2 linked regions of the Elephas maximus indicus genome follow. The protein of the gene in region 2 purifies or fractionates together with the protein of the main gene of each other region. This does not show direct contact. Links are inferred from orthologs where the notes say so. Each region holds a gene or a part of one and is shown on either strand. Other genes may lie near its edges. The genes, in order: RASSF3 and STK4.

Region 1 (9,289 bases), on a different chromosome or scaffold from region 2:
TATAAATTTATTATGTATCTCCCTGATAAACTACCTGTTTCTAGCACCAGAACAACATTTACCTACGATTATATTTACATAGATGTAATTATATTATAGATGCTGATTCATGACTTGCTTTTAAAAAATATTTGCCAATTTCATGAGTGAAAAATGTACTCCTTTGTTTTCATTTACTTATTCTCCATCCAGGTGCCAAAGGGGTCCTTTAAAAAAAAAGAAGTGAAATAAGTCAAATCATGTGACTCCTCTGCCCAAAACACTCCGGTGGTTTCTCATCTCAGAGAAAAACTAAAACCAAAGTTCTCACAAATGTTTTCAAGGTCTTGTAGGAATGATAACCTCTTTGTCCGTGTTACATTTCTGATCATAATTCCTGTTGTAGGGAAAAAACATCACAAAGTTTAGTAAAGAAAAAGAAAGTTTTATTCGGCATATATTCAAAAAGGCAAAACTGAGAAGCGGACAAGCGTGCTGTCCGAGCCATGTCTGCCCCAGTCCAAAGAATACTACAGAATAGCCAAGAGTGGGAAAACGGACAAGCATGCTGCCATAGCTATGTCTGCCGGAGCCCAGTGAAGATTACCATCATGAGTACATATTAACATTGCAAATGGGCAAAACCACTGAAAGCTTTGCCTTTTCACAGATTGGCTAAAAACTGCGATCCTACATTTTGCATTATCTTTCTTAATAATCAGTGGTACAGGTTTCAGTAACAACAGTCTGGAGGGTCTTCACTGGTCCAACAAATTTTCTATTCACTAAATGCTAACAGAAAAAGAGTGGGAAGTCTATGTTCTGTTTGATTGGCTTATGTGAAAGCTTCCCTAAAATCCATTTTCCAAGATTATCCTAGCTATTGTCTTTATACCTCAGGGCCCAGTTGATGTGTCTTTGTGAATCCTTGTGAGCCAGGCTCCAGCTGGGTCACATTCTCTATGCTCAAGGACAGGGAATAATGATTCCAATAATATTTTCTAAATCATTCCTAATATTCTCCCCTCCACCTATTCATTTCAGACACACTGGCTTCTTTGCTTTTGTTTAAACATGCTAAGCACTCTCATACCTCAGGACATTTGCACTTGCTGTCCTCTCTGGCTGAAATGCTTTCCCACAGATATCTGCAGGAGTGGCTTCTTCATCTCCTACATTATCCTTGCTCAAAATGTTCCTCCACGAGAACTTCAATAACCAGGCTACGTAAAACATCCTTTATCTTTTTTCCATGATTTATGTGAGTATTTATTATCTTCTAACACACTATGTAATTTTTATCTACCAACACCCACTAAAATATAAGCTCTATGAGAATAAAGATTTTTGTCTGTTTTGTCCAAGTGATTTATCCTTTGTGATGAGATCAGTATCTGGCATGTAGTATGTGCTTAATAAATATTTGCTGACTGAATGAATGTTTTAATATACTTATTGGTTATTTACATTTCTCCTCTCATGAACTGCTTGTCATGTTCTTTGCTTATTTTTCTGATGAGATGTTCAACTTATTTACTAATTTACGCAAGCTCTTTGTATTTTAAGGATATCAGCCCTGTGTCATTTATACGGCAAACATTATATGGCAAAAGAAAAAAGTTTGTCTTTTGTCTTTTAGTATTGTGTATGTGTATGTGCAAAATATTTGGATTTTTACATAGGCAAATCTAGAAACCTTTTCCTTTATGATGCTGTTTTACATTTATTAGGAAAAGTTGGTAAAAGAAAAATTTTACTTTTAATTGTAGTTAGTCAAAGTATGGTTGTGCCTTAAATTTCTCCTACATTTATTATAAATGAGTTTCTACCATTTGTGGACTCAGATAAACACTACTTAAGGAATCTGACTAATGATTTAAACTTTTTGGTTGATAATTACATTTATAGGATTGTTGTTCTCATTGTGGATTATCTGGTGAGCAAGAAGGTTAAACTGTTACTTAGGCCTCTTCTTTTGTATTAACTTAAAATAATTTGATTGCAGGGTTACTAAAATACAATTACAAAACGGTTGTGTGTTTATAATATTTGCAGGTATTTACTACATTTTAAATATATTCCCCACATACACAGAAATTATACGGTCTTTCTCCCGGACCGTAAATCTAAATCATTAGGGTTTTACAAATTGCTGGAACATTAATGGTCACAGAATCTACTCAAACATTCAATTCTGTGTTTGACAGCAAGTCCTTTCAAAACTAACCTTGGTTGCGTACATGTTGTTTATTCCACTCCCTTTCCCTGAATTTTAAATGTTAAAAATGTCAAGTTGCTTAACGTAGTATTTTGAATTTTTACAAACACTAAATTCATTAACCAAATTTTAAATTTGTATTTTTATTAAGAATGCTATAAAATATAGAAATATGATTATTATGCTGGTTTTGGAAACAGAAGGCCAATTCTTCTTTCATTTATTATTTTTTTGCTTTTTGTTGTTTGAAAGTAGTGCTTCTACTTCATTATTCAATCATGCCTTTTCGCTATAATTGATTCTGTTGGTTTGCTGAAGGATATAAAAATTAATTCGGTCCTTTGTAACTTACAAACAATAGAATGAAAAAATTGGTTTTTATGGCATAAAAAACCCAAACCAACCCCATTGCCATTGAGTCGATTCCAACTCATAGAGTGACCCTATAGGACAGAGTAGAACTACCCCATAGGGTATCCAAGGAGCAGCTGGTGAATTCAAACTGTTGACCTTTTGGTAGCAGCTCAGTTTTTAACCACAGTGCCACCTTTTATGGCATGGTCGACCATAAAGCACTTTCATGTATTTTCTTTTTAATATTTTCCTCAGAGTATTCAGAAACTTTAAAATAATTTGTTCTGGATGGGGTTATTTCCCCTTTCCACTCATAATAAAATAAGTTATTTGAATTCTTTAACGTACACATCACTCTTAAATTGGATTATTTAATAAGGATTACATTAATGAAGTAGTGTAAGAATGGAAACCAAATAAGAAAAATCTTTCATAAAGTAAGTAAATCGTTGTATTCTCTTCCATGAGGTTGTGTGGAACATACAGGAATCAGTTTAGACTGGGCAACACAATGTGGGGTTAGAATTCCTGGCTTCTAACCATTTAGTAGCTGTGTGACTAAGAAGGCTTTAATGTTGTGGATACTTTAAAAGGTGCTGTATGCCAATGGAGTTGTTGTGAACCACGTGGGGGTAATATACAGCTTTGCCAGTGGGATGTGTGCAAAGTGGGTCTGAGGCAAAGTAAGTAGGTGTGCAAGCCTTGTTTTTGCCTGGGGGCTAGATAGGTGATTTATGAACTAATTTTACTTCTCTCTTTCCGGCCATCTCTGGTCCAGCGCTCCTTCCACTAGTACACAAATGAGCAAGGCTGACCACCAAACAAGTGAGGGCCTAGAGGGGTATTTTTTAACATGTTAACACTTTTTTTTTTAACACCAGGATAAAGCAGAGCGGAGTGGTTCGTGCCCTGACACCTACAGCTGGCTCCCTTCCTCTCTCTAAACCTCGGCTGTTTTCAGTGTAAAAGAGGCATAAAACAGTACTGACTACCTTATAGAGTTGTTTTGAAGGTTCAGGGAGAAAGCTTAGCTATGATAGGTGAAAATTTTCTCTCTTAACCCTTTTCTTCCCCTCCTAATAAAACCTCTCCTGAAGCCTACTTACTGTAGCTGTGCTTTTCAACATCTTAGGGTTCAAAACAACCTTCAGGATCTCTGCTAGGAAATGAGTATAATTTAAACAATTTAGTACACACAAAGGTGTAAATGACTGGTACCTATAGGTGGTTTGCAGGGTGATTGTTCATTTTAAGAGAAGATTTGGGGACTTGTAGAATTTTAAAAAAGTATGGCAACTTTTTTGGTAGGTGGATGAATGAGATTCTTTGATGCCCCTCACCCCCCAAACTACTTAAACCACACCTGTAGGTTCACCATGTAAGGCAGATTTAGGAAGCGGACGTTTAAAAAGTATATTTAAATAACAAGCACACAATTGTTTAACACTTTCTCTATTGAACCAGTTCATTCCCCTCTGCACCAGGTGTCTCTGAGATCACAACGACCTTGGCTGTCCTCAACTGGGAATGACCCCGCGCTAGAGAGAAGGGGAAGAGGGAAAGAACGGAGCTCAATTAAATTGCCAGAGAGGACATTTTCATTCGAATAAACTTAACCCAGTTGGTAATTTCCCCGCCATCTCCGCTAACTTCTAACCCGCCATAAAGGGCGATCTGTTGGGAGTTTGGGACGGCAAGTTCCGGCTCCAGGACGCCCGAGGTTTAGGGTCCCCCACCCCCACCCCACCCCACCCCACCCCACCCCACCCCCACCCCCACCCCCACCCCCACCCCGGCCAGGCAGTCTTCACCGCCACCCGCAGGGCTCAGAGTGGGAGCGAGTAGGGCCGCGACCGCGGGGAAATTTCCCAGCTCTGCTCCCGCCCTCCCCAAAATGCGAACCAGCGGAGTAGGGGGCGGGCGGACAGATCAGAGACGACAGTTTCCGGGAGGTTGGGGAAGCGATCCAGGGCACCGCACCACTCTACGCAGCTCCCGAACCGGGTTTTCCCGGTTGCACAAAAACGGTTAAGAGCCGAGCGCCTGGCAGGGGCGGGCCGCTCCGCCCCCACCTGCGGCCGCCAGGGGTGGGGCCGACCGGACCGCCCGGCCCAGGCAGGCCGGCTGTGGGGCGGGGCCCCGGAAGGCGGGGCGGTGGACGCACCGGGTCCCCGGCAGCGCCAGGAGTGGGGTGGCGAGGCAGCTGGAGGGGCGGGACGGCCGGGCTGAGCGGCGGCTGCAGCTGTAGCAGGACGGCCCGCCGGCGCTTGGGGGCCGCGCGCCGGGAGCCTCGCGGGGCAGGAGGGCGCGGCGCCCCCTGCTTGGCCGCCTGCGCCCCGGAAAGGCTGCCTGTACGCGACGGGACCAGCAGCATGAGCAGCGGCTACAGCAGCCTGGAGGAGGACGCCGAGGACTTCTTCTTCACCGCCAGGACCTCCTTCTTCAGAAGAGCGCCCCAGGGCAAGCCCCGCGCCGGTCAGCAAGTGAGTGGTGCGCTCAGAATGACCCGCGCCCCATCGCTCCCTGGGGTTAAGCGGTCCCGGGCCCCCAGACTCCACGTGGCTCCGTGGGGTCGCGCGAACGATACTCGCCGCGTATAGCAGGCGGCCTCCGAGAAGTGGCTTCTGCCTCTTTGGATCCCGGGAACGTGCCTCGAGTTTGTGCATGTGGGCGTGCTCGCAGGGGGCGCCCTGGGTGAGCGAAGGAGGAGGAAGAACGCGGAGGCTGAGGCGCCCCCTCTTGCCTTCCGCGCCAGATGGGCTCTACGGCTCTGCCCCGGGGCTGCTGGTGATCGCCGCGCTCTCGGCGGAGCCGGTGCGCTGAGCCGGCTGCCGGGGAGCAGTTCCGAGAGCGATTCTGGTGCCCCGGACCACTCCTGGCGTTTCCCCCGCGTCCGGGGAACGCCCTTCGCGCCCCCGTGGATAAACGGTTGGGTCGGCGTGCCAGCCCCTACTCTTAGTCTTCTCAGTGACCAGTGGCCCTCTGAGTGCCTTGGCGGGGGGGTAGTGGAACCGGGTAACAGCAAGGGGGTGGACGCGGTGACCAGGCCGCCTCCCCCTTATTGGTCCGGGAGCGTCTTGAGGGAAGCCGAGGGCCTGACGACAGTAGACGATCAATAAATGTTGGTTGCGGGAGTCAAGGTTGTGCGTTTCCTGTGAAGTCAAGTTTATAGGTGCCTAGAATGTTTTGCAGACAAGTTCTGGTGCTAGGTAAATATGACCGCTCGAGCTAAGCTTTAGGCCGGTTTCTTCCTTTTTTGGAGGAAGCATGCCCTGGGAAGCATGACTTGGGAAAAGATGGGAAGGGAACTTGGATCAGTTTCGCCGGCCGTGACACTGTTTTTCAGGGAGGTTTTCCCAAAACTGAGTACTTCGGCAGGACTTCCAAGTCTGGCGCTTGAACTCGCACCCTCCAGGCCCTGGGAGCCGCACCAGGGAGCCCTGCCAACTCAGCCATGCTCACATCAGATTAGAGAAGTCTAATGGAACAAATTTGTTGCTCTTAAAAAGCAGCAGGCACACCAAACATTTCTAACTGACTTAGTCCTGGAGACTAGAAGCAAGAAAAATCATTCAGGGGCCTGGATGATGAGTTTTAGGGGGTCGGGAGGCAGTAATCTTTCAGGGTTTCCTTGCCAGACCTTTTAAGTTTATTTAACCACGTTCTGAGCTCAGATTTCTTTTTAAGATTCGGAAGTTGTAGTCTTTTCAACCTCTTAAGTTTCAAACTAGAAGGAGGGGGAGAGGGGACGGTTAAGGGCAAGAGTGAAGTCAAGTGCGCTTATTCAGTAACAGCAGTTAATTCAAAGTGAAGTTCTGGTGTAGTAGTTTTTCTTTGTTGTTTCTGAGGCTTAAAGGTGCACACTATTTATTAGTCTCTTTGAGTGATCTCTTGTCTTCCGTGCAGTGTATTCTAATGGCATGAGATTTCTGTGAAGTTTGGAAGCCAGAAACCAACCTATAGCCCCAATAGGTTATAGAAGAATTGCATTTTGGGGGGCCTTTTTTCCCTTGGCCCATTTGTTCCTCTCTATTCTTTCTTTCCTTTCTCCACTCTGTTTTCTCCTTCCTCTTATGTTGCTGTTACCATTTGACATGCAGTTGTCAGACATGATTATAATAGTTTGAAGTTTATTCCAGAAGTGCCTGGTAATCTCCAGTAACTTGCAGGTTCTTGGGTTCTCCTGATGTGAACTGAGAATCCTTCAGTGCTTAAAGATAAGAGCATCGATTTTTTCCTAAGTGTATGCACTTACAGTGTTTCTGTGTTACACTCATTCATTTATGTAAGTCATTTAGCATATGTATTATGCTCGTTCACGTAATATTGTTCATTTAGCATTTAGAACTAGCCTACCTTAACGAGTGTTTTCAAGTGTTGTGCTGAAAATCAGGATTCTAAGGTCTAGTTCTTTGCTTGAAGAGGTAACTACATGTGTTCTGAAGCTTTGTTGCCTGTATACTTCCCCTTTTGACCTAACACATGCCAGGTCTAGAGATAGGACTTATTTGACGGGTGAAGAAAGTGTTCTAAACTTTGAGTCTTAGATGGAATTTTGGCTTATTTAAAGAAGTGACTGAGAGAATCTTTTAAATTCCTGCTAAGATTTGTGAGTTAAGGAAGTAAAACATAATAAATACAAAGCAAGGCACTCTTAATGTAGAGGATTTCTGTCACCTAAGGCTAGGCAAGCCTTCATTGTATTGTGCTGGCAGTTATAAGGAAAAGATAAACACCACTGACGTATAATGTAATATAATCTTTTCTCTAGAGAGATGGAAAGAGAATTGTTGCCATAAGAGCTCTTATTGATAATACTGGGTTTTTTTGGTACTGTACCACCTGGTGGAAAAGCTGGGAAAACTCTTGAAAATATCCAGAGAAAGCAAGATGTTTGTGGTCAATACAGGATGAGGAGAAAGGTGGGGGCAGAAGAAATCTTTCTTCTCTTACCAGGCAACGGAACATATCCCAACTTCTGTCTCCCAACTCCTTTCCGTCCACAACAATAAAAAAAAAAAAAAAAAAAGTTATTTTCCTTCTTATTTTGGTATCCTGTTCTCTTGGAAACAAAAAAAAAAAAAGGAAGAAAACAGTTAAAAATTCACTTATATGGGTGTCAAGTGAATGAACATATGGCCTTTTGTAGCTGTTTGAATGTCACGTTTGTCACTGTATCCTCAGGGCCTAGACCAGTACCAGTTGTTGCTCAGTGAATACTAGTGACTGAATTAATGCTTTCCTGGTTTGATAATAATTGGCTCTTTGTTGTTTTCAAAAATCTTATGATTCTTCCAAGAATCCTCTGAAGCACTAACCTAATGAAAGGTGAGGTGCTGTTAAGCGATCACCCTGAAAGGCCCACACTTGGGGTAAGGGCTGGAACTCAGGTATTCTGATACAAATCCCAGTCTCCTTTTTGTTGCTTTATCAGCTATAAAAATAATTTAAAAAAATCCGTTTTCATTTGGCAAATGTGGACAGCTATAATTTAGGAGTTGCTTAAAATTTCAATCTGCTGCCCTACCTATAAAATCCTGGGTGGCACAGACGTTTTCTGGAGTAATGCTTAAGAGCTACAGCTGCTAACCAAAAGGTCAGCAGTTTGAATCCACCAGGTGCTCCTTGGGAACTCTATGGGGCAGTTCTACTCTGATCTATAGGGTCGCTATGAATTGGAATTGATTAGAAGCAAACAAGGTTTTTAAATTTTTTATTAACCAAAAGGTTGATGGTTTGAACTTACCCAGCAGCACTGCGGAAGACAGGCCTGGCAGTCTGCTCCAAAAGGTCACAGCCTTGAAAACCCTGTGAAGGAATTCTACTCTGCACACATATGGTCACCATGAGTTGGTTGTTGTTTCAAGGAGACCATAGGTAATAGACAGTTCTGTAGCTCATAATTTGCCTATTCGGGTATTCCAATAAAATCAAACTACCTATGGATACAGGACACGTTCAGGACACACAGAATGGCCTAGAATCATTTATATAATCTATTGGAGCACATCTTGCCTCATAGCTTTTTCTTCTTTGGTAGTTAACGGGAATAAGGAAATGGGACACTGATTTTGATTTAAAGTATAGTAGTCAAGAAGTCTTGAAAAGCTTGAAATTGTCTTCTAAACCATACACAGCTTTTAAAATTTTTTACTGAGGGATTGTTTAGTAAGGCAAGCTTGTGAGATGCCGTGTACCAGGCCTCAGATATCTCCCTCGGTGTTTTCTTCTTCTCGTAGTTTAGATATTTTTGCGGCTCTTTATTTGGTTCTGTGTCTTATTGTTAGAATCAACAGCAACGAGTCCACTGTTTATTCAGTATTTCCATTAGAAGTTTTGGAGGTGGATCACGGTGGGCAAAGATACTTTGGCTGTAACTTATACTAACTTTTAATCTTTTAATATGTTTAATGTATAAACATATACATTAGTCATTTTGCCTTGTCCAAGGTGGTTTGGGTCACTCTAGGGTCACTATGAGTCAGAGTGGACTCTGGCATCGGGTTTTTTTTTTAAAGGTGATTGGTACATCTCATCTCCTTTTTTGATATAGTCCCTTTTTTACACAGTATGAATCCTTTGGAATTTTGTCTGTTTGCTTAGGACTCACAAAGGCATATTCCATTAACTGAATTTCAAAAGACAATGGTCACTGGTCTTATATACCCTGTTATGTGAACAGTGCACTCCTTGCCACATTCCTCCTTCTGGCTAATTTGCAGGATTTGGAATTATTTG
Region 2 (9,652 bases):
ATTAGGTGGTAACATCGACAGGGAGTCCAGCAGCAATGCAGGCTGTCTTCATGAAGTCCCAAAAATCAATTTCTAGATCAGAGCATATACTTCATTTTTGCAAGGATTACACAATGTTTTCAAGCATGTGGCCCACAGATGGGCGGATGAGTATACATCACAACTACGAGAAACTATTAAACTAAAGATATGCATGTCGGACATCTGGACTCTAATCTGTATGTTTGTAACAGGCAAAAAAAAAAAACTTATATGAAAATCTCTCAGCTAGTGGAACTGGCCTGCCAAGTTTACTCTGACCGAGGAGGTGAGGAGCAAGAAGGAAAGTTACAGACCAAAAGCTCCAGGCAGCCTTCCTAGCTGCCATCTTGCAGGCTGAAGGCCATCTTCCAAGAGAATAAAGAGGAGGGAGACCAAGGCTGCAATGAGCCCAGAAGACCCTGCACCCTTTTGGAAAGAGACCAGTGCAGCTGGTGCAATAAAAAAAACTTATAGGTTACTTAGAGTATGGCTATGGCATTAGTTATGTCAAGCTCTCAGTCGCCCATTTTGAAAAGGAGAAAACATGTTGCGAAGTGTTAGGGTCACACACTGCCCTTTGGGAGTTTACAGTTCAAATTATTTGTGTAAATTCCTAAACTCACCAGACTATAAACTTGCTGAGTGTTGGGTGGCTGTTCCATCTGAATCCCCTCAGGCCAGAGAAAGTCCCACCCAAGAAGAAAGAATGACACCTTGGTGGGGAAACCAGATGAGGCATACTGTGTTAGTGGTCTACTCAATAGCCTCCATCTTTGCTTCCAGAGTCCCGATTTTTGCCTGGAATTCTCTCAGGTCCTGGAAAGGAATCAGGATTGCTTCAAACCAATCACAGTAACCTCATTCTTTTTTGTCAGTGATTGGTCCAGAAGTGGGCATGTGACCCTGATCTGGCCAATGAGGTAAGAGGAAGGCTACTGGGTGCTTATGGGAAAGTTTGTCCTCCCTGAAGAAAAAGACAGGTACAAGATAGAATAATCTTTTTGGCTCTCTTTCTACTTTGGGTAGTGTTAGGTTAAGGATGTGATACCTGGAGGTGTGTGGTAGCCATTTTGCAACTGTGAGGCAATAAGTACAAGTATGAAGAGCCAACCAGCTGAGTAGGATGGGTGAGGAAAAATAAAATTAACATTGTTGAGCCACTGAATCAACCCTGGAACTGCTGACTTCAGGACTTCTTGTTGATAAACAACAAATGTCATGGCGCTGAGACAGATAGGGTTAACTGTGCTGGCGGACTAAGAGCTGTTAAAAGATTACCATCTGAAGTTGGGTAAACAGGAACCACACCCTGTCAACATGGGAAAGGTTGAAACAACCCATGAATTACTATCTCTTCTTAGTGTTTTTCTAGTCCCTTCCCCCTGTACAGGCGCCACATGCACAGAAGCCAGATGCACATACAACCTAATTAACATGCACCACCATCCTGAGAAGTACCTGTCCCTTGAAAGAAGCCCACTAAGTATTCATTACTCTGTTGTCTCCGCCGAACCCATATAATCCCTAGCCTTGCTTCCCTTTTTGAGTCAGTCTTTTGGAGAGGCTTAGTCCCCTACTGACTCCTTTGACTTGACCCAAGGAAAATAAACCTTGCTGAAGATAAAGTTTGCCTTTCACGTGTATTTTTACTAGGGAAAAGACAAGGACCCTTTGTGTCAGATTGGCGATTGGTAACAGTGCCTTAAGCTGTCTTTTAGATATTGTCAATTACTTGCAGCTGGATATGTCCTAATTAATACACCAGACAAGTACACTTGTGGCAAATTGTGTTTTTGAAAAATAGCCACAACAATATTTCCAGACCCACACGCTCTTCCAGAACCTTACAGCTCCCCCATCAAGAGATGGAATCTATGTCTCCTGTCATTGAAAATGGGCAGGTCTTTGTGGGCCCCTCAACAGTGGAAGTGACTCTATGTAACTTGCAAAGGCAGGCCATTAAAATGCACCACAGCTTCTGGACATGTCATATGTATGGAATCATATAATATTTGGTGCTTTGTAACTGACTTTTTGCATGCCTCACATTTCAAGGTTCATCCATGTTGTAGCACGTATCAGTTCTCCATTTCTTTTTATTGTTAAACAATATTCCATTGAAGGGATATACCACATTTTGTTTATCCAACCACCCATTGATGGACATTTGTGTTGTTTTCATTTTTCAACAGGTGACTTTTTGATATTAAGATCTCTCTCAGAGTTAGCCATCTCGTCAAGGCCGCATTTAACATAACTGGGGAAAGAATAGATACTACAGATGAAGTCATTTTAATAGGGTAATATGCACACAGATTGTCATGGATTGAATTATGTCCCCCCAAAAATGAGTGTATCAATTTGGCTTGGCCGTGATTCCCACTATTGTGTGGTTGTCCTCCATTTTGTGATTGTAATTTTATGTTAAAGAGGATTAGGGCGGGATGTAACACCCTTGGTTAGGTCACCTCCCTGATCCAATGTAAAGGGAGTTTCCCTGGCGTGTGGCCTGTACCACCTTTTATCTTACAAGCAGCAAAAGGAAGTAAAGCATGCAGAGAGTGGGGGACCTGATACCACCAAGAAAGCAATGCCAGGAAGAACGCATGTCATTTGGACTTGGGGTCCCTGCACAGAGGAGCTCCTAGTCCAGGGGAACATTGTCGAGAAGGCCAACAGAGAGAGAAAGCCTCTCCCTGGAACTGATGCCCTGAGTTTGGACTGTTAGCCTATTTTACTGTGACGAAATAAACTTCTCTTTATTAAAGCCATGCGTTTGTGGTATTTCTGTTATAGCAGCACTAGATAACTAAGACAGACATTATTGGAGAAATATGTAATACAAAAAAAAATTTTTTTTTTTGCCTTTTAAATATTTCTCCCCTGAGTTAATTGATTTATAAACTGGGGATAATAATCCTTAATCATAAGGTTATTTTGAGGGTTAAGTCAAAGATCAGAACAGTGCCTGGCACATAGTATATTCTCAGTAAACGGTCTTCCATATGACATCAGGAGAATGGTTCTATTATACCTTGTCATTTTTGGCACGTGGGGTGCCATAGATAGGTGGCCCTGGAGGGTGTTGTTTAAGTGCTAAGTTTTGTAGTCACAAAGTCTAATAAAGCAAAAAGGAAGTTTTATTTGGCATATATTCAAAAAGGCAAAAGTGGGAAGTGGACAACCATGCTGCCAGAGTCACGTCTGCCAGAGTCCAAGGAATATTACAGAATAGGCAAGAATGGGAAAATGGACAAGCATGTTGCCACAGCCATGTCTGCCGGAGTCCAAGGAAAGTTACAGATCATCAGTATATATTAACGTTACAAAATGGGGAAAACCATCAAAAGCTTCATCTTTTCATAGATTGGGTAGAAACTGTGATCCTACATTTGGAATTGCCTTTCTTAACAATCATTGGTACAGGTTTCAGTAATGACAGTCAATAGGGTCTTCATTGGTCCAACAAATTTTCCATTCACTAAATGCTAATAGTAAGAGTGGAAAGTCTTTTGTGCACTGTTGATTGGCTTATGTGAAAGGTTCCCTGAAAGATATTTTCCAAGATTATCCTACCTATTGTCTTTATACTTCATGGCCTGGTTGATTTATTCTCGTGACTTCTTGTGAGTCCAGCTGCAGCTGGGTCACATTCTCTATGCTCAAGGACAGAGAATAATGATTCCAATATTATTTCCTAAAACAGTAGATGGCATACCTTTTGGAAAAACAGGACAATTGAAACTTCTGAGAGTTTGCTTTGGGTAAGCTTTCTCCTCTAACTCTTCTCTTCAGTAAATTGGGAAGAACACTGATGGTGGTAGCGACTGAGTATTTCTGAATTGTAATATCTGGAACTGGAACTCTGAGTTGGCAGGGGGAGGTCTGTCTCTCTTGCCCAACTAGAAGATACGCATAACCAGTTATCTAGTTTGGTGGGGCAGGCTCTGGAATCAGACCTAGATTTGAATCTCCAAACCTCTACTTTTAGCTGTGACCTTGAAGCAACACACTTCACCTCTAAGGGCTTATAAAATAACGTTAATGATAGTACTTATCTTGTAGGACTGGTAAACCAAAAAACCAAACCCACTGCCATTCAGTCAATTCTGACTCATAGAGACCCTACAGGACAGAGTAGAACTGCACCATAACGTTTCCAAGGAACGCCTGGTGAATTCAAACTGCAGACCACTTGGTTAGCAGCCGTAGCACTTAACCACTATGCCACCATGGTTTCCTGTAGGACTGGTAGGAGGATTAAATGAGTTAATGTTAGTACAGTGCTGAGAACAGAGCACTCTTTTTCAAATAGTTATAACCAATAGCCATCAAGTTGGTTTCAACTCATGGCTACTCCAGGTGTGTCTCAGTAGAACTGTGCTCCATAGGGTTTTCAATGGCTGATTTTTTGGAAGTAGATCCCCAGGCCTTTCTTCCGAGGCACCTCTGGTGAACTGAAACCACAAAGCCTACTGCATTAACCATTTGTATCACTCAAAACAAAAAACCAAACCCGTGGCTGGTGGAGTCGATTTGACTCATACACGGTTGCTATGAGTTGTATCACTAAGCGACTCCCAAAATAGTTATGCAAACACATAAAGACAGGGATAACCTTACAGACTTGATGTGAGGCTTAAATGAGATACTAAATGAATGCAAACACGTGGCAAATGCTATGTAAATGTTTGCTATTTCTGTGTCCAAAACTGACTCAAAGGCGAGGCAGTTAGACAGGGTGGGGCAATTTGCAGATAGATGTTCTGTGACATCCAAGGGAAGGGTTTGCACTGGGACAAGAGTTCAAGCAGGTAAGAGTTCTCCAGGAGCCCCTGAAGCAGGGCTTCCCATAAACAGTGTAGAATTTAGATTGCTAAAAATCGACAGTTCTCAACAAGTCACCGTTTCGCAAGAAGATTCAGTATCTCCATCTGAGAAAGGGAGGGCCAGAACCGGCACAGAAGTGGGTTCCCGACCAGGGACCGAATGTCTCTGGCAAACGATGCCGCTAGGAGACTCCACCACCAACAGTCTGAAGCTCAGGCGAGGACGCAGCAGGGAAAACACTCTTTCGCTGGGCGGTTCCGTGTTCCCGCCTTGCCGGGCCACGTGACTTAGATTTCTGACCACGTGATCCAGGTCCGCTTCCCCGCCCCCTGGCGGCTCCGCCCCGCTCCCGCCCTGCACGCCGCTTCCGGTAGGGGCGGAAAGCGGAAGTGTGGGAGGGTCTGTGGGGCGGGCTTGGGGAGGTCCAGAAGGAGGATGGAGCAGTGAGCGGGTACGGGCCGCTGCCGGCAGCGCCATGGAGACGGTGCAGCTGAGGAACCCACCGCGCCGGTGAGGGGGCAGTGGTTAAGAGGAAGGGTGCCGACGGGGCGTAGGAGAAAGGCGCGAGCTGGCTGCGGGGAGATACCTGTGTGGGAACCCCCGGGGAGGAGGGACCTGCGGGGCGGGCGACCTGGCTGCTGGGGGCACCTGCGGAGTGGAGATCTCTGGAAAGTGGTGGTTGAGGAGGATAAACCTGGGGACAAGTTAGGAGGAGTGCATGCTCAAGGCGAGGATCACTCGGGCGAAGGCTCTCCAAGAGGACTTACTGGGGTGGGGGCTGGTGGGCTCTGAAGCAGGATGAGAACCCATGAGGGGCCTGTCTAAGGGGTTGCTAGCCTTCCTAGCAGGAGGGAGGCTGGAGTGGACTTCTAAGGGAGGGAGTCCCACCTGAACGACCCAACGGGGGATGCTCTGCTGAGGGGAAAAGCTCTGCGCCTAAGGCTGAAGGCGTGGGAAGACAGGTGTGAGGGTCTAGCTAGGGAGCAGTCCGTGGAAGGTAGCATTTCGGGGGGATGCTCTTGGTAATATCCCCACTCTCTAGGTTGATGGTGGCATTTTCATTCCTGATGTCCAGAGTGCCTTCCTCTCGTCCTTATCCCTTCAAAACCTGATTTGGGGAGGTAGGTTAGGAAATAAGAGGATATTTTCAAGATGGACAAACTGAGACCCAAAAGAGTTGAGACAGAGCCCTATTTGTTTCCTTCTTTGCTGTAGGTCTGGGTCACTGCACCCAGCTAGGCTGTGTCCTTTTCTGGCCTCCACTGGAGTTGTCTTTAGGCCAAGATCAGGGAGATGACTGACCCTAGAAAGTTTGGTCGCAGTTGTCTTTGATTTGCTCTGTGGTCACCAGAGTTTTTGTCACCTTGTTGCATCTAGAGAAAAGTGGGGAGTAGATGCTGAGAGAATCATACTTCTCTGAAGTGCAGTGTACTTCGCTTCTATTTCGCAGAGCCCTCTGACTTCCTGCAGCAGAAGGATCACTGAAGTAGGAAGTGTTCAGTGTGTGGGAGTTAGGGGCAAGGGAGAGATGAAGCCAAAGGATTAGGCAGCACACTTGGGGTTGTTTGAGGTGGGCAAACATTTCAGAAGGCAAATAGCTGGTTGGGAAGGACTCAGAATTCACTCTTGTGTAGTGTGCAGAGACTGTAATAGAAATGATTAGCACACATAGAGTGAGTGTATACTGTGCCAGGCATTGTTCAAGTGCTTTCCATGTCTTCTGTTGAACTGTATGAAATTGCTGATATTTGACTATTATTGACCTGTAAAAGGAGGCCTGGTGGCACAGTGGTTAAGAGCTCAGCTGTTAACCAAAAGGTTGGCAGTTCAAGACCACCAGCCTCTCCTTGGAAACCCTTATGGGGTACTTCTACTCTGTCCTATAGGATCGCTATGAGTTGGAATTGACTCAGTGGCAATGGGTTTGGTTTCTTCATTTTTTTGGACCTGTAAAAATTGTGATGTCATATGGTTCAATTTATTATTAACTCGTTTAGTCCTCAAAGGAAACCGTTGTGGCGTAGTGGTTAAGTGCTACGGCTGCCAACCAAAGGGTTGGCAGTTCGAATCTGCCAGGCGCTTCCTGGAAACTCTATGGGGCAATTCTACTCTGTCCTGTAGGGTCGCTATGGGTCGGAATCGACTCGACAGCACTGGCTTTGGTTTTGGTTTAGCCCTCAAAACAATCCTGTAAAGAGAATATCTCTATATCCTATTTTACAGATGATAAAATTGAGGCACAGAGAGGTTAGTGATTTGCTGGAGGTCCCGCAGCTAATAAGTGGCAAAAACCCATTGAGCCGATTCCGACTCATAGTGGCCCTTATAGGACAGAGTAGAACTACTCCAGTGGTTGGTAGATTCCAACTCCTGTGCCTTTGGTTAGCAGCCAGGCTCTCAACCACTGTGTCACCAGGGCTCCAGTAAGTGGCAAAACTGGGATTTTAATCCAGGCAGTCTGGACCAATGTTCATGCTCTCAACTCTTCATTCCACTGCTTCTCTGGAAGTACCCCCGTTTCGCAGGACCTTGTGTATATTAGCAGATATTTACCATAGCACCATAGAGAACCAATTATAAATGTACACTGGTTGTTTCTATCTGATGTATGTGCATTCTTTCTCCTTGAGAACCAGGCCTTGGTTTAACTGAAAAGAGGATTAAGAATCTAAATTTTGTTTCTACGATTGCCTTGTGTTGTATAATCTTGGGCTAAGGAATAAGCCTTTTTCACTTTCTGACATGCTTGTTCCTGTATCTTTTGGATTTTTTTTTTTTAATTAAAATTGCAAGAGAAGAGCATTCAAGACCGAGTTCTTGGATGATTAGTGCTTTCATGATCATCATAACTAGTGGGACTACAGCCGATAAGTTTTTAAAAAACTCCATCGGTTTATCTTATATATTTATTGCAAACCCTATCAAATTCTGTGTGAAAGAGAAAAACAAAACTAAACCAGTTGCTCTCGAGTCGATTCTGACTCATGGAAAGAGGGGTAGGTGTATATCAATAAAATAAATCTTACAGGAGTTCTTTGGACGTGTCATTAGGAAAGACCAATCCTTAGAAAAAGACATCATGTTTTGTAAAGTAGAGGGTCAGCAAAAATGAGGGGAACCCTCAGTGAGCTGGATTGATAAGATAGCCACAACAGTGGGCTCTGATATATCAAAGATCATGACGATGGTGCAGGACCAGGCAGAGTTTCATTCTGTTGTGTATAAGGTCGCCGTGAGTGACAACAACAGGAGTTCTAAGTTGGGAGAAAGAAGTTTGAGAAACCTGTGTGACCACTTCATAAGCACCCTTTTAAAAGATACCAATGTCTTTTCAGAGATGCAGTTGGTATGCCTTTCCAACAAGGGCTAGCAACTCCAAGGCAGGAAATGCTCTTTGTGTTCATGAGTTTGATTGTTGTGTGTGACTAAGTGAATGATGCTGGATTAAAGTTGGTATCTTATGTAGGACTTGATGATTTAAAAAAGTGAGTGCGGTTAAATAATGTCGGGGTGGTGGAACATGTAGATTGCATTCCTGGGATGCTGGCCACCTACCTGGTCATCTGACTGGAGAGGAGCATCCACTGGTATTAGGTCCACGGAGGCTGTGTTGGCCAGGCCTGTTTGCTCATGAGCAAGTGCCGAAACAACCTGGGACCTGGGTAAGTCCCAGCCAAGAGAGCTGCATCATCAAAGTTGGGCTGTTTTGGTCATCGTACTTGTTCCATGAAGACTCACGGTATGAAATATCATTAAGAGTCACTTATCAGAAGATTTTCCATAGAAATCTTACTCTTAGGTGAAATACTGTTTTATTTTGAAAACTCATAAAACTTGTTGACGATGGTTATGATTCCTATCATTATATTCATTAATGCATTTAGCAAATATTTATTGACCACTATTTTTTATCAGGCACCAGAGATGTAAAGGCCCCTGAAGTTCAGGTTGTTTTAAAATAACTCTGGACTCAACACAAACAAACAAGGAACCACTTAGATTTTTATAAAGGACTATCTGAGCAGCTGCATGAAGTTTGTCTGTCAAAGTATTATCAGAGGTTTGCAGCCGTTTCACTCATGGCATTGGCAGTTTCCTTTGTTATGCTGTGGTTTCTGTAGAAGTTGAAATAGTGAGTTTTGCTTTTTGTAAACGGTAGCAGTGAACACTTCGAAGGAATACATTTGATCTTCCTTTATATAAACTATTTATAAAACTTTAATTACACTTAAGAAATGAGGTATTGTCTATTGTTTATACAGTTAAAAAATTCAGGGCTTAAAAAGAAAAGCCAAACCAGAAACCCTGGTTTTTGAGATGTTCGCTCGAATTTCTGAATTCGTAGAAAATTTGCTTCTGAAGTTTAAGAGGAGTTTCACTTCAGCCCCTTGTGTTTAAAAAAAAAAAAATGTGTTTAGAAGCTGGGAGTTTTTATGATGTCATTGGAATTTAATTTTTAGGACCTTTTGATTTCAAAGGTCAGTGTGGCATTTTATATTAATTTTCATGTTAAGGCAGTTATTGGCTTGGAGCAGTTCTCCATTTTGTTAGTACATGGTCCTTGATATTTATGATTCTGTAAGGTTGGCCTTTTGAGATCAGTCCTTGTTGGTAGATACACTTAATCTGTTCAGGTTTCTTCTCTTCTCTTCTGGTTTTGCCATTGTCTCAAGGAAGATACACATTTGTGTATGTGTGTGTATAATTTTTTTTTAATTCAAATCTTTTTTTTTAATAAGAATTGGTATTGTCCACCTAGGTTAGACTTTTTTCTTTACAAAGAACTCCCTAGCTTGACTAC

Evidence for each region.
Region 1: the proteins of STK4 (region 2) and RASSF3 purify together in Homo sapiens (affinity purification with mass spectrometry; 5 studies listed by BioGRID and IntAct, with this or other methods). This does not show direct contact. The link is inferred for Elephas maximus indicus from reciprocal best matches to the Homo sapiens genes STK4 and RASSF3.

The regions. Positions count from the first base shown.
Region 1 is NC_064822.1:124,834,453-124,843,741, forward strand, and holds the start of RASSF3 (ras association domain-containing protein 3), read left to right. Parts: upstream 1-4,664; 5' UTR 4,665-4,923; coding exon 4,924-5,034; intron 5,035-9,289.
Region 2 is NC_064843.1:24,403,445-24,413,096, reverse strand, and holds the start of STK4 (serine/threonine-protein kinase 4), read left to right. Parts: upstream 1-5,263; 5' UTR 5,264-5,326; coding exon 5,327-5,361; intron 5,362-9,652. UniProt on the Homo sapiens protein: Stress-activated, pro-apoptotic kinase which, following caspase-cleavage, enters the nucleus and induces chromatin condensation followed by internucleosomal DNA fragmentation.